Linked DNA regions of Ovis aries. The protein of the gene in region 1 purifies or fractionates together with the protein of each later gene. This does not show direct contact. Links are inferred from orthologs where the notes say so. Each region holds a gene or a part of one and is shown in the gene's direction. Other genes may lie near its edges.

Region 1 (6,762 bases):
CATTTTCTTTATGACTGAATAATATTTCTTTGTGTGTATATCACATTTTCTTTATCCATTCATCCATCAATGGACAGTGAGGTTTTCTGTAAATAGCGCTGCAATGAACATGGGGGTGCATATATCTTTTTAAATGAGTGTTTTCCTTTTCTTCAGATAAATTCTCAGAAGTAGCGTACTAGATACGATAGTTTTGTTTTTGAGGGACCGCCATGCTGTTTTCCACGGTGTCTGCACCAACTTAGGTCCCGTCAGTAGTGCACAGGGGTTCCTATTTCTCCTCATACTGTCAGACATTTGTTGTTTATCATCTTTTTGATTAACAGCCATCCTCACAGGTGTGAGGTGATAGCTCCTTGTGGTTTTGATTTTCCTTTCCCTGGTGATTAGTGATGTTGAGCATGTTTTCATGTGCCTGTTGGCCATCTGTATGTCTTCTTTGGAAAAATGTCTATTCAGCTCTTCTGCCCAATTTTTTAGTCAGATTTTTCCATTTTTTTGCTATTGAGTTGTATGAATTTTTTATATATTTTGGATATTAACCCATTTCAGATAAATAATTTGCAAATATTTTCTCCTGTTCCGTAGGTTGCCTTTTCATTTTGTTGATGATTTCCTTTGCTCTATAAAAGCTTGTTAGTTTGATATAGTTCCACTTACTTACTTTTGCCTTCATTGCCTTTGCTTTTGGTGTAAGATCCAAAAAAAATCATCCACCAATATCATTGTCAGCAAGCTTACTGCCTGTGTTTTCTTCTGGGAGTATTGTGGTTTCAAGTCTTACATTCATCTCTTTAGTCCCTGTTGAGTTAATTTTTGTGTATGTTGAGAAGAGACTTATCTTCATAAGAGTCTATTATATTTTATTAATTATATCTTTGATCAGTATTCTTCTAAGATTGTAGCCTGTAGAAATAACTGATATATATACAAAATATAGTGGCTTTATATGGAAATAGCCCTTTAAAGAATACAATTTCAGTTGTTGTTTATTCATTTTCAAAGAACAGCTATATCTGAATAACCAAATAGAATATCTGTTTGCTTGATATTATCACTGCTTTAAACATTGTAAGATGAAATTTTAATAGACTTTGTGAAATACGTAAAGTCTTGCTTTTAGACATCCTTGGCATTGGGTTAAGAATGTAACATCAGAATATGTGGAAGCTTTTCATTTTTATTGCTTTCCCTCTATTTTTAAGTTAAAACTAATGTTTCTCTTTTCTGTTTTTTTTGTTTCTATTTTAATTGACTCTCTTGCAGTGAACTTAGGAGGACTTTTACTCCAGGCACTCCTAGAATATTGGCCTAGGACACATGTGAATCCAATAGATGAAGAAGAAAATGAAGTAAATCATGGTTCGTATTTTTATATTAGGATAATTGGTTTTAAAATTACTCTGAAGTTAAGGATATTTAGATTGTTATCCTGAGAATTTTTTTAAAAAATTTTTTTAAGCATTTGCTAAAGTATGACATAATAGTTGGGGTATGCTCAATTTATTGCCCTCCCTTCTACATGCTAAAGAACGTCCATCCAGTCTTAACTGAGATATCGAAGAACTTTTAATTACTACACAAGGTATATGGAATCAATCCTGTGTATTCAGGTGACCTTTGTCCTTGAAAGTAGGCAGCTTAGCAGGTTCATTCTAACAGTATTTCTCAAGGTATCCATGGACCTGCTGGATTTACCTCCAAAGCTAGCTATTTAGCTGCATTGGAAAGCCAGGTTTGTTGTTGTGAGGCATGCCTCACATTGGCCTGAAAGGTAGATATTCCCTAGTCTGATGATCTACCTGATATTGGCTCAAAAAAGCAGCTCCCAATTCAGAAGTGCCAGGGTAAGTGACTGAGTATGTGTAAAGAATTAATGTCATTGAGGACATTCCAAAGCTGTGTGTGCCACAGGCAGCAGCAGTAACTCACTGGGCAGCCCGGGAGAATTTGGAACATATGAGTTTGGCTCAGTCTGATTCAAGAAAGGAGGGGAAAAACTTAAAATATCACAGCTGATACATAACCTTGAGTCCCCCCACTGAGGACTTGCTCTGCTAAAGATTCTCTGAAGATTGCCTATTTGTGGTGGTCAGCAGTGATGAAGCCCTCCTGCCAGAGAGTTTGTTGTGGCTGACTGATTCATCCAGAATAAATTTTGGAGTTTAAATCTGTTTTGCAAGGATGGCATGCCTCTCTGTAAGCCAGTGTCCTGATGTCCCTGTCTGAGAGAGAGCACTGACCCCACACATGATGGCCTTTCTTCTGTCACCTGGCTCGCTTCATTCCCCTTCTGAATTGTACAGTGAACTGTGAGCCAGAGTCAGTGGAAAGATCTGCTCACAGGGTCGAGAAAGCTAGGTTCTGCTGTGGGCTCTGCCGTTTTATCAGCTGTGCAGCTGCGGGCATGCCATTTCCTGTTCTTGACTTGTCTTTCTCCATCTATAACCTGACGGTGCCCTCGGAGGCCCAAGGAGCCAATAAAGACCACGTAATCGAAACAAAGGGCCCCAGGCAGCATCTCTTGAAGGCAGACTTCGGTTGGGGGAGTAAAGAATAAGTCACAGGAAACGTTAAATCATCCTTAGAATCAAATTGGCCTAGTGAAGGCAGGGCAGGACTGAGCCAAGCTCAGGACACGGCTCGCACTACCTGGCTGGTAATCCTGCTGGACCTGCACGACACACAGCGGACCCTCAAGCTGCTTGGGTTATACGAGGTGGGCAGCTCGAGTATTCGGAGGCCTGAAGTGAGTTGTGAGGATAATAGGGATAGATGGACATGGATCCCTCCATTCAGGGACTAGCATTCTGGTTGGACAAAGCACCGCTTACATCTGCATTGTGTGATCAGAGTTGGTGCTGTGAGAGAGTGTTGTTGGGTTGCAGAGGGTGAGATTGCTTCCAGATTCCTTCAGAAAGTAGTTATGAACAAGGGGGAGTCAGCTGCAGAGAGCTGACTGAAATGAAATCTGACTAAAATGAAATCTGCAGAGAGCAATAAAAATGAGTTTATGACCTCTTTGAGATTTTGTTTTTCACTAATACCGTTAGTTGTGGCTGCCATTAAATATAAACTTTGTTTCTGACACAAATTTCTCTGTGCTTGGTGTTTTACCAATCCCCACCCCACCAGCGCCAAAGGAAAGAGCAGATCATTGTTTATAGACTGTTCTAGACTGCCCTGTGGCTGAAGTAGATGGTTATGTTTTTGTTTTAAATCTCAAACATTAATCTCCTCTAAAATGTAATCATTTCTCGTGAGGTATATCGCACATTGCCGTATTTCTTATTTTCAGGAACTTCACTTTGTTTTTTACCTTTATTTCCATCTCTAGCTGACTTACAGGACTTCTTGACTTAAGTCTTGCAATGGTTGGGTCCTGTGGAAACAAAATGTTTAGAGTCCATGTTGTTAGCGCTGACTGGATCCTGACGCCATCTGTGTCTTTTCCTAGTAAACGGGGAGCAGGAGAACCGAGTACAGAAAGGAAATGGCTACTTTCAAGTGCCGCCACACACCCCTGTGATCTTCGGTGAAGCTGGAGGCCGCACCCTCTTCAGGTATGGGTAGGAAGGGCTAAGAGTGCACCCTGTTTGCCCTGAAGTTTTGATTCAAGCAAATGTCTATTAATTTCTAGGGGTGTCTGGGTTTTGGTTTTTCACCTCCCTGAAATAGTTAAGTGTCTGATGCTGTTAGACCCCATCTTAATTCAGAGCTGAGCCTCTAGTGGTAAAATGAGGTTGATACCTTGTGGAGGTTGATAACCTTGCCTCAAGGCAGCTTCTTAGCAGTTTCTGCAGGAAGTGCTTTTTCTCACTTAACCAGCCAGACTGCCAGGGACAGATGACTTCACCAGAAGTCCCCACCCACAGGACAACATCTGAGTAGATAACTTCCCTCAGACCAGGCCAGGGGAGATGGACTGGGCTGCTCCTGGGAACTGTCATGCCCAACAATGGCTCGACCTGAGGTGCAAGGCAGTCCTTCTTGAGGGCCTGCAGGCAAGTGCTAGGCTGGCTTCACCTCCAAGTTGCTAGCCAAGGCCCAGGAAATGTCATGGGAGAAAGCCATGGGCCAGAAGTAAGAAAGCTATTTGTCTTGCCCTTGAGAGCAGAATTCTCTTCCTTGATGGTGATTTCCTGAGAGTGTGGTCACTGAAAACCGCCTGACCCCATGTTGTGCATGGACTACCGTGCACTGTAGCTCTGCTGAGCGACCTCAAGTGCCTTGCCTACACCCAGCTTCCTGTCCTCACCCAGGGGCCCCAACAGGCAGCCACAGTGTCCGTCTGGCCTCGAATCTGGGAGCCTGAGTTTGACAGCTTGCTTTCACTCTTAGCAGAGTGAGTCATTCTGCCTGCCTTCTACTTTATTTCCTCAGCTGTCAGTTGGGGGTGATCCTGAATGAACTCTATAAGCTCCCTCCCTCTAACATTTAATGATAGTGATATTGGGATCCGTGCTTATTTTGTCACTTACTACATGATGGATTATGTTTAGGCTGCTCTGCCGAGATTCTGGGGGTGAGACTGAGTCCATGCTTCTTAATGAGACGGTGCCACAATGGGTAATTGACATCACTGTGGATGTAAGTGTCCTCCACTCCCACTTTGTCCTCTTATTTTTTTCCAAATCATGAAGAAAATTTACTGTATTAAATTGTATAATCTTTGATTGAAACTAGACTGCCAAGTGGAATCCTCTTCTGCTTCTGTGCAGTTCCAAAGCTGCAGAGAAATATTATAATTATGTCTCTTTCTATCTTTATTTTTAATATATAAAATGTGTTTATCAAAGAAAATAATAAATGAATAAGGTGAAATTCCCATCCTTTTCCAAACACTGTCTTCCATTCACTTCCTCTTCTTCTTCCCAGAGGTAGTAAATATTAATAGCTTAATGCCTTCAGGACCTTCTTCTGTGCATACACAAGTATGTGTTTGTGTCTGTATATGTGTGTCTAGATATATGTGATCCATATGTAGGTCATTTTATTTTGCACAGAATTTGCTGTTCTGTACTGTTCTACAACTTGGATGTGTTTTTTTGTTTTGTTTTTCACTTAAAAATATATTTTGGACATTTTTTCATATTAGTGTATGGATCACTTCTTCTTAATGACTGCATATTTTGTTGTATAAATGTACCATGGTTTATTTAGCCAGTCCCTATTAATGGACATTTAGGTTGTACCCAATGTTTTCTGTTAAAAACAATGCTTCAGTGAACATCCTTGTATATATATCTTTGTGTACTTTTTAGGGTAAATTCCTAGAAGTGGAATTGCTGGATCAAAGGGTATGCACATTTTAAATTTCAATGGATACTGCCAAATTGCACTCCACTAAGGGTATACCAGTTTACACTCTCACCAACAGTGTGTGAGTGCCCAGAACCCCACACCCTCACCAATGCTGGATACTTAGAATCTTTGCTGAAAGATAGACATATTGTCTCATTGTTCTAAATTTTTTTAACTTACAGTGAGGTTAAGCATCTTTTCATAGTGGCCATTTTTATTTCTTTTGTAAGTTGCCTGTTTGTATTCTTTACTCGACTTTCTATTGGGTTATTTGTCTTTCTTATTGACTTGTAATAGTTCTTCATACTGAATATTAACCCTTTGACCATTCTCTTGCCTCTTGATTGAATTTTTACTTTGCTCATGATGTCCTTTGGCAGGCAAAAAGTTTTAATTTTTATATGACCAGATTAATCCTTTATGGCTGTGAGTTTCATGTCTTGCTTAGGTATTTCGCACTCCAGAGTAGCAAAAATATTTTCTTGTGTTCTCTTCTAGTATGTTTATGATAATAGTTTGTATCTAGATCATTAAAGTATTAGAATTTATTCTATTTGGTGAATTTATTCTGTTTGGTGTGAAGTGAAGTAAGATGCTAACTTTCTCCAAATGGGTAGCCAGTGTGTCAACACAATTTATTGAATCATCTAAACTTTTCCTACTAATTTGAAATGCTGTTTTATCATATACTAAATTTCTATACACACATAGGTCTGTTTCTAGTTATGTGCTATTGACCAATTTTATGTCTATTTAAAGCCTCATGAAAAGAGATTTAATCTCTAGAACCTTCTAGAAAATTTGTTTTCTGTCCCAGATAAACTTCCAAGAACTTAAAGCCAGTCTGACACCTGATGGATATTCTAGTCTTCTCTAAATTTGAGCTCCCCATAAACCACTACTTCCTTTGAGTGTGAAACTCACTCGGATGCATTGCTGACTTTAGGCCTGTGGCTTATTCCCTGGAGGAAACATCCGAAGAGGATATGACATGGAGGCTCAAAGGGGATTAATCCCCATAGCAAAGATGACCAATTAATTTTATCCTTTATCTAAGTGTATGGTTTACATCATATGGACATCTAGGTGGTTGGCTGAACTTTCCACTCTTATTTGAAACCTCAGACAGACCTCACTCTGATGTCAGAGGTAAAGCAAGTTAGGAGGACTTGATTGACCTTTAGAGGTGGATAATGGACCTTACCAGCATAGAGTGTATGGTTTTGCTCAAAAGTGAATGTTGTGGGTTTCTCTCAAGATACTTAAATTTTTGTTCTGGCATTTGAATGTAGACTTGAGATTTTGGTTTGTATGGCTTAAAGGATTAAAATAAAGTTTGTTTCCCTTTAATACCTTGAATTGTTACTTGAGAAGAGCCATGCTGCCATTTTATACTGCTACTGACACTGCATATGATTTGTCTTTATATATGTTTTATTACAAAATTAAACTTTATAC
Region 2 (7,278 bases), on another chromosome or scaffold:
CCATCCACTTTCACTTCAGTTTACCCTTACTGAGGACAGAAAAGCTAAGTAATTTGTCCAAGGTCACACAGCTAGTAAGTAGTGGATCCAGGATTTGAATTCTGGCAACCTAGCTCCTGGGCCAGCTTTGGGAACCATTCATTCTACTCTATTTCACAACAGAGCTAAGGAAGGGTTAGAAGACTACCGGGCAACCGCACAAAGGATAAAGGAGAGAGAAATAATGGTTAAATTACTCTGGGAGCTGAGTGAGGATCTCAGCCTGAGGAATGAAACTTAGGTTAAAACCCTTCAGTTTGGGCGTAACCATTCCCAAAGTAACCGTCCTCCTCACCCTCCTCTTTCTGCAGGTGTGATTACTGCCTCGGGCAGGCAGGGATGGGTGGAGAAGATAACACCCCATTCCCCACCCCTCTCACAGGCTAGCCTGCCTGGCGCCTGACCCCAGGGAAGGACAAGCTAAAGCACTCATTGCTTCATAAAAGCTGCTTTGGGAATCTTGTCTGGGGTGGTCGGGGGCGGTGAGGTGGGGGGTGGTCCACTAAGCTAACTGGGAGCCCAGGAGATAATGATTCCCTTTCCTTAGCCTCAGTCATCTGAGCTCTGGGCTGGCTCCAATCTTCCTGCATCCCAAAGTACTTAAAGGGGTTTTACTCTTGGAAGTCTCAGGACAAGAGAGACCCAAGCATCCCAACAATTAGAGTTCAACCCAAGCTGCTGCTGGAGATGTTGTTGGGGGCTGGAGCTGGGGGGTGGGGTGTCTACTGGACCTGACAGTTGGTTCTTAGCTCCTCCTCCCATCCTTAGAAGCTGGCTTCCCTACCTGGCCAGAAGCGTGGGCACAGACCCCTTGGGCTGGGATCAGTTAGAATGACTCATCAAAGGGTGTGGGAGATTCTGGGCAGAATACCCTGGGGCCTGAGCCCTCCCTCAATCCACACAAGAGCTTTTGAGGACACTGCCCAAACACTCAACTAGTGAGACTTCTGTCTCACCCAACTTCCAGAATGACGTTGGGGGTGGGGCCTGTAGGTGGGGAGGGTCAAGTCCCAGACTTGAGCTTGGAAACCCAAGTCACTGAAGCTCCTGCTCAGAGTCCAAATCTTCCCTGTCCCTTAGCCTCAGGATTGCCAGCCTCAAGATCAGTCCTGTGGCTCCTGGCCCCTCCCTGTCCCAATATTCAGGGTTCCCAGGAGGCATCCCACACCCCATCCCCCACGAGCTTTTGCACGTGCTACCCAGCTTATATCCCACAAAACCCACACACATCCCGACAGTGGAGGGAAGAGAGAATTCCTTTGAACAGCCCTTCTAGGCAAGGGGGGCGGGTGGTGGGAGATCGGAAAGAAGAGGAAGAGGATGGAAGGGAAGAGGGAGGGGGAGGAGGCAGAGGCTGCAGGAAGGCCTGAGATGCAGGAAGCAGCTGGGAGTGGGGGGAGGCTTTGTGCCTGAGGTGTTCTCTGGGTCCTAGGGTCCACAATGTTCATTATTTTCTGGGCTCTGTGGAGTGAGGCTGCGCATCTCCATCTATCATGGCCAAGGGGGTGGACCTTCACTCCCAGGCCCTGAGCAAGGGTACAGGGCAGTCTCAGGCCCCTTGTTATGCATGGGGGGTTGAGGGGAGTATCAAAACAGCTGCCAGGACAGCAGACGTAGATGTCACTGCCACCCTTCCCCTCCCTCCCTGCAGTCACACTTTCACACAGTGGCCAGAATCCTTTAGATGAGAGATAAAAGCTAGAGCTCTCACTGGTGAAACCCGGGCCCCAGGCCTCCAGAATTCCTCCTCCAAAACTCCTTCTTCCTGTTTGAGAGGCAGGAATGCCCTAGTAAGGCCCTGAAGACAGGGATTCCACCCCTCATTTCCAACCTGGGCCCAATGCAGGCAGTTGATAGCATACCCTCTTCAGAATTCCAGAGGGCAAAAGCCAGCTTCAGGCGGCCACATGGGTGATGAGGACCATTCCTTTCTTTCCCTTTCTCCTCCACCATGAGACCAGAAACATCGGGCCAAAGTTTCACACCTTAAAAAGTACAAAGGTTCCCTATTGTTAAAATGCAGATTCCAAGGCCAGCCTCTGAGATTCTGCTTCACAAAGTCTGGGGGAGGATCCAGAAATCTGAATTTTAAAAAAGTTCAAACTAGGCAGCTCTGAGAATCTTGAAAATGATCCTTTGTCCCTCCCCCATTATTCCCCCTCCACACTCAAGAGTAGAGGCCCACACTGAGGCTACTGAGTGGTTGGACTGCCTTCCCCCAATATTTAGTGAAGGGCTTCCCTGGTAGCTCAGGCGGCAAAGAATCTCCCTGCAATGCAGGAGCCTGGGGTTCAATCCCTGGGTCAGGAAGATTCCCCGGAGGAGGAAATGGCAAACCACTCTAGTATCCTTGCCTGGACAATTCCATGGATAGAGGAGCCTGGTGGGCTACAGTCCATAGGGTCGCAGAGTCGACACGACTGAGGGACTAACACACTTACTTAATATTTAATGGGGGGGTGAGGTTATATATGTTGTGAGAAGCTACAGTCAGAGGTTGGGATGGAAGGGTTGAAGAAGACTGGCCAACCACTGGGGTCAGCGGAAGGCTATGGCGAGGGCCGGTAGGGGAGGAGTATGCATTGGGGTGGAGGGGAAGGGGAGGGCTCACAGGCTCCGGTCCCGGAAATTCGATCCCTTTAGGACCCAGAGATGCCAGTCCCCCAGCGGCGGCGGCGAGAAGGGCAGCCGCTTGGTCTCCGGCAGCCGCCGCTCGGGCAGAGCCAGAGAAAGACCGAGGCTCGGGGCGCGGGGGGGAGGGAGGGAGGGAGGGTGGCGCGGCGGCGGCGGCGGCGGAGCGGCCCGGGCCGGCCGAGCAGCTATGGGCGCCCGGGTGCCGGGCCCCTGGAGAGCCAAGGCCCCCGACCGGGGTAGGGGGTGCCGGGGCTACCAGCCCCGCTGACACCGCCTCGGACGATGTGAGCGGGCGCCTCCGCTGCTGCAGGGCAAGCGGTCCCACCGGCTCCGAGCGCCGCTTTTCTAATTTGGGTGGGGGCCACCATACCAGGCCGCTCGGGCTTTGGTAGAAGGGCGGGCTGTCTTTGGCAGCTTGGTTGGGGGAGGCGATCCGCACAGGGCGCTCGGAGATTCTTTTTTCCTTTTTTTTTTTAAAGCGAGGTTAACTGTTTTGGGTAGCTTGGTTTTGGGGGGAGGCTTTAAAAAGGCCTTTCGGGGTTCCTTTTCTCTGGGGGAGGGGGCGGTGGTCCCGACTTGGCCCGCCGCCTGTTGGAAGGGGGGAGCGGGAAGCGTTGGGATGTGAACCCAGCTCCCCCCACTATGATGAAGACGGAGCCACGGGGGCCTGGGGGTCCCCTCCGGAGCGCCTCCCCGCACCGCAGCGCCTACGAGGCGGGCATCCAGGCTCTGAAACCTCCCGACGCGCCCGGGCCCGACGAGGCACCCAAGGCAGCCCACCACAAGAAATATGGCTCCAACGTCCATCGCATCAAAAGTATGTTCCTGCAGATGGGCACGACGGCGGGCGCGCCGGGTGATGCGAGCGGCGGCGCGGGCCCCACCGAGGCCCTGCGGGCGCCCGAGCGCGGCGTGCGCTTGTCGTTGCCGCGGGCCAGCAGCCTGAACGAGAACGTGGACCATAGCGCCCTGTTGAAGCTGGGCACCAGCGTATCGGAGCGCGTGAGCCGCTTCGACTCCAAGCCCGCGCCCTCCGCGCAGCCCGCGCCGCCGCCACACCCGCCGTCCCGGTTGCAAGAGACGCGGAAGCTGTTCGAACGGAGCGTCCCCGCGGCCGCGGGCGGCGACAAGGAGGCCGCGGCGCGGCGGCTGCTGAGGCAGGAGCGCGCTGGCCTGCAGGACCGGAAGCTGGACGTCGTGGTGCGCTTCAACGGCAGTACCGAGGCGCTGGACAAGCTGGACGCCGACGCTGTGTCTCCGACGGTCAGCCAGCTAAGCGCTGTCTTTGAGAAGGCCGACTCGAGGACCGGCCTCCACCGCGGGCCCGGGCTGCCCAGGGCCGCGGCCGCCGGGATTCCCCAGGTCAACTCGAAGCTGGTCAGTAAGCGGTCCCGGGTGTTTCAGCCGCCCCCGCCGCCGCCCGCCCCGTCGGGGGATGCCCCAGCCGAGAAGGAGCGCGGCCCCGGCGGGCAGCAGCCCCCGCAGCACCGAGTGGCCCCCGCCCGGCCGCCCCCCAAGCCCCGGGAGGTGCGCAAGATTAAGCCGGTGGAGGTGGAGGAGAGCGGGGAGTCGGAGGCCGAGGCAGCGCCCACAGAGGTGATCCAGGCGGAGGTGACAGTCCACGCGGCCCTGGAGAATGGCAGCGCCTTGGCAACCACCGCTAGCCCGGCGCCTGAGGAGCAGAAGGCTCAGGCGGCTCCCGAGGAGGAGGCGGCGACCGTGGCGGTGCCTGAAAAGGGGGTGGGCAATGGCCGGGCCCCGGACGTGGCCCCCGAGGACATAGACGAGTCCAAAAAGGAGGACTTCTCGGAGGCGGACTTGGTGGACGTGAGCGCCTACAGTGGGCTGGGGGAGGACTCTGGGGGCAGTGCCCTGGAGGAGGACGACGAAGAGGAGGAGGAGGGGGAGCCCCCCTACGAGCCCGAGTCGGGGTGCGTGGAGATCCCAGGGCTCTCGGAAGAAGAGGACCCGGCCCCGAGCCGAAAGATCCATTTCAGCACAGCGCCCATCCAAGTGAGTGAGCCCCCCTCCCCGCCCCCGCGCCGCCCCTGCCACGTGCGCGCAGTCGCCCCCGCCTCGCCAGCCAGCCGGCTTTGGCAGGCTGAGTCAGCCCTGTCACCCAGCCCCCTTCCCAGAAGTTACCTCCCTGAGGGGGGCGTGGGGGACTTCCAGCTGTTTGTCAGCGGGGGAGAGTATTTAGGCCTGAGATGAGGTGGCCTGCCCTGACCTGCCCTCGGGTTCCTCTGCCTGCTGCCCCACCCTGCCATGCGCCGGTCCTGGGACACCTGCTTTCCCTTCCTTTTCCAGACATTCTCCCTCCGGAGACTGCCAGAGGCCTGGGCTTAAGTGGTGGGAAGGTGTGTGTGTGTGTGTACCTGTGACCTCAGAAGAGCACCCCCGCTTTGGTCCTTACTCTGCTCTGGATCGGAGGGGCATGAGGAGCTTAGAAACACCCCTGCTTTCCTCCTGCACCAGAGCTGCACACGGGGGTGGAGGAGCCAGAAACTTCCCAAAACGAAGGTGCAGCCCCTCCTTCAAACTGGCTGTAGCCCTCACCCCAACTTTGCAGAAGTGAAAGAGGGAAGCAAGTCTCTGAGGTTGAGCTGAGCTGGGACCATGTGACTGGGGGCCCAGTTCCCTGGGGTCTGTGCTGGGCCAGCTCCCGAGGTGGGGGTACAAGGTTACATAGGCAGGCACTTTCTGTGGGTTTTGAGGAGCCTAGGCCTTCAGCAGGGTATGGAGGAGGAGGGGGTGGGGCTGGGAAACTCCCAGGTGCCTGGCAGCAGCCTCCTGCTTTTGCTCTTGGTGTTGGCAGGCACCAAGCGCTCTTGCCTCATTCTCTGGGTACCCTGAAAGGACAGAAGATCCTCCCTTTTGGGGGGCACATACACTGTTGGTGATTGGTTTGTGGGTTGTGCCAGTGCCCTCAGATCCTCAGGAGAGTGCTGGGAGAGATCCCTGGGAGAATTAAGAACCCCAGCCCCCAGTTTCCTGAGGCTTCCCTGGTGGCTCAGATGGTAAAGAATCCGCCTGCAGTGCTCTACCCTCTATTCTTGGCTGGCACATTCAGCTTAAAGACTTTTTCTCACCACCCCTAGCTCAGCTGTGCCCAAGTCCAAGTCTGCTGTATGGGGGTGTCAAGGCCAAGGAAAGTTCAGCCTTTACCCCTCCCCAGTCAAACCCCCCCTCTGTTTGATTGAAATTTCCATAACTCCTGGACACTGAAGCTGCCCATTTCCTCCCACCTGCCCCAGCATCTTAACCTCTGTTCCTCTTCCACCTCCCACCCCAGGGGGCCTGGGAAGTACAGCTCGCCACTCAGGCCAGCCCCTTCCCCCAGGCTGTGACCTCACAAGCCTTTTTGCCTCTCCTCTCCTTTTCTGAAGTGCTGGGATCCTGGAGGCAGAGAACTGAAGGATATGGGGTGTTTCTTGGGACACTGAGGATGCAAGTGGGGACCACTGAGGGGGTCAGGACACCCCACGGCCCTGCCACAGCAGTTCTCTGAACTGCCTGATCCCCTCAGAGGTAGAGTTTGGTCTTTTAGTCCTGAGCCTCTGACTGTCTATATTTGACACCTTACCCTGATTTTTGGGTAAAAAATAGCACATGATTTGGAGCAGTGCTCCCTGACTCCCTGGTGACAGTTGCTCGCCTGTGGTGTGTGGTGCCGCTTTGTGTGTCTGACTTTTGACCTTGCTGGGGATGTCTTCCTCCCCACCCAGTTTTTCCCTCTCTCTGCCCCCACCCCTGCACTGATACTAAGTCCAAGGTCTTGTGCCCCTCGGATGACCCAATTGTTGCCCACAATACAGAGGCTTCCGCTGAGGACAGAAACCTCAATTCTAGATAGTTATCTGGAGAGGGGGACTGGACCCAGGGCCCTCGGATAGGCTGGACACATGGAGGTGGGCAGTGTGAATGGTGGTCTGAGGCCTCTGACCCTCCCGCCTGAGTTTCCTGCAGGGGGCAGGATTTAATAATCTGAGAAAAGAAGGGAGGACAAAGCCTAGGACAGGCTGTGAGGGTGTTTTGGAGGTCACAGTGTGTGTCTGTGTTTGTGTGATTGCATGCGCTTACTCGTGGTGGGGAGGAGTTTGGTTGACCCAGGCTGCCACATAGACTGAGGGATGAAGAGACCCTCTCTGCTGGGGTAGAGGGTGAGGGTCAAGGGACTGGCATGCAGAAGTGGGCCAAAGCCAGTTTGCGAGATCTAGGCGCATGGCAGCCCCGTCCTGGGGCTTGGGACCTGTGTGCAGCGGGGACAAAGTCCAGTGACCTACCCACCAGTCTCATCCCACCCTGCTATGGGCTGGCTCCCATGACCTTGGACAGTGGGTCTAGCATCGTGCATTGTATGTGGACTAGGTGGCCCATTTCTCCCAGGAGCTTGGGGCTACTGGCCAGATGTCGAGAGGGCAGTCTGACTGCTGCACCATCGACAAAGAACGCTAAGGGTTTGCGCTCTTTCTCTGATGCTGTAAAGTTGAGGGCAGTGAGTTAAGTGACCATGTAGGCCCCTCCCAGCTAGAGCCCCCTGGTGGGAGCCATGGTGCTTGGGGGGGTGACACTAAACCAAGGCTGGGACACAAGAGCTGCTGGCCT

Evidence for each region. The genes of interacting proteins can lie anywhere in the genome.
Region 2: the proteins of WDR48 (region 1) and PPP1R9B purify together in Homo sapiens (affinity purification with mass spectrometry; 3 studies listed by BioGRID and IntAct, with this or other methods). This does not show direct contact. The link is inferred for Ovis aries from reciprocal best matches to the Homo sapiens genes WDR48 and PPP1R9B.

Annotation. Positions count from the first base shown.
Region 1 is NC_056072.1:12,417,584-12,424,345, forward strand, and holds part of WDR48 (WD repeat-containing protein 48), read left to right. Parts: intron 1-1,266; coding exon 1,267-1,362; intron 1,363-3,457; coding exon 3,458-3,563; intron 3,564-4,502; coding exon 4,503-4,590; intron 4,591-5,264; coding exon 5,265-5,300; intron 5,301-6,762. UniProt on the Homo sapiens protein: Regulator of deubiquitinating complexes, which acts as a strong activator of USP1, USP12 and USP46. Enhances the USP1-mediated deubiquitination of FANCD2; USP1 being almost inactive by itself.
Region 2 is NC_056064.1:36,237,946-36,245,223, forward strand, and holds the start of PPP1R9B (neurabin-2), read left to right. Parts: upstream 1-2,705; 5' UTR 2,706-3,315; coding exon 3,316-4,686; intron 4,687-7,278. UniProt on the Homo sapiens protein: Seems to act as a scaffold protein in multiple signaling pathways. Modulates excitatory synaptic transmission and dendritic spine morphology. Binds to actin filaments (F-actin) and shows cross-linking activity. Binds along the sides of the F-actin.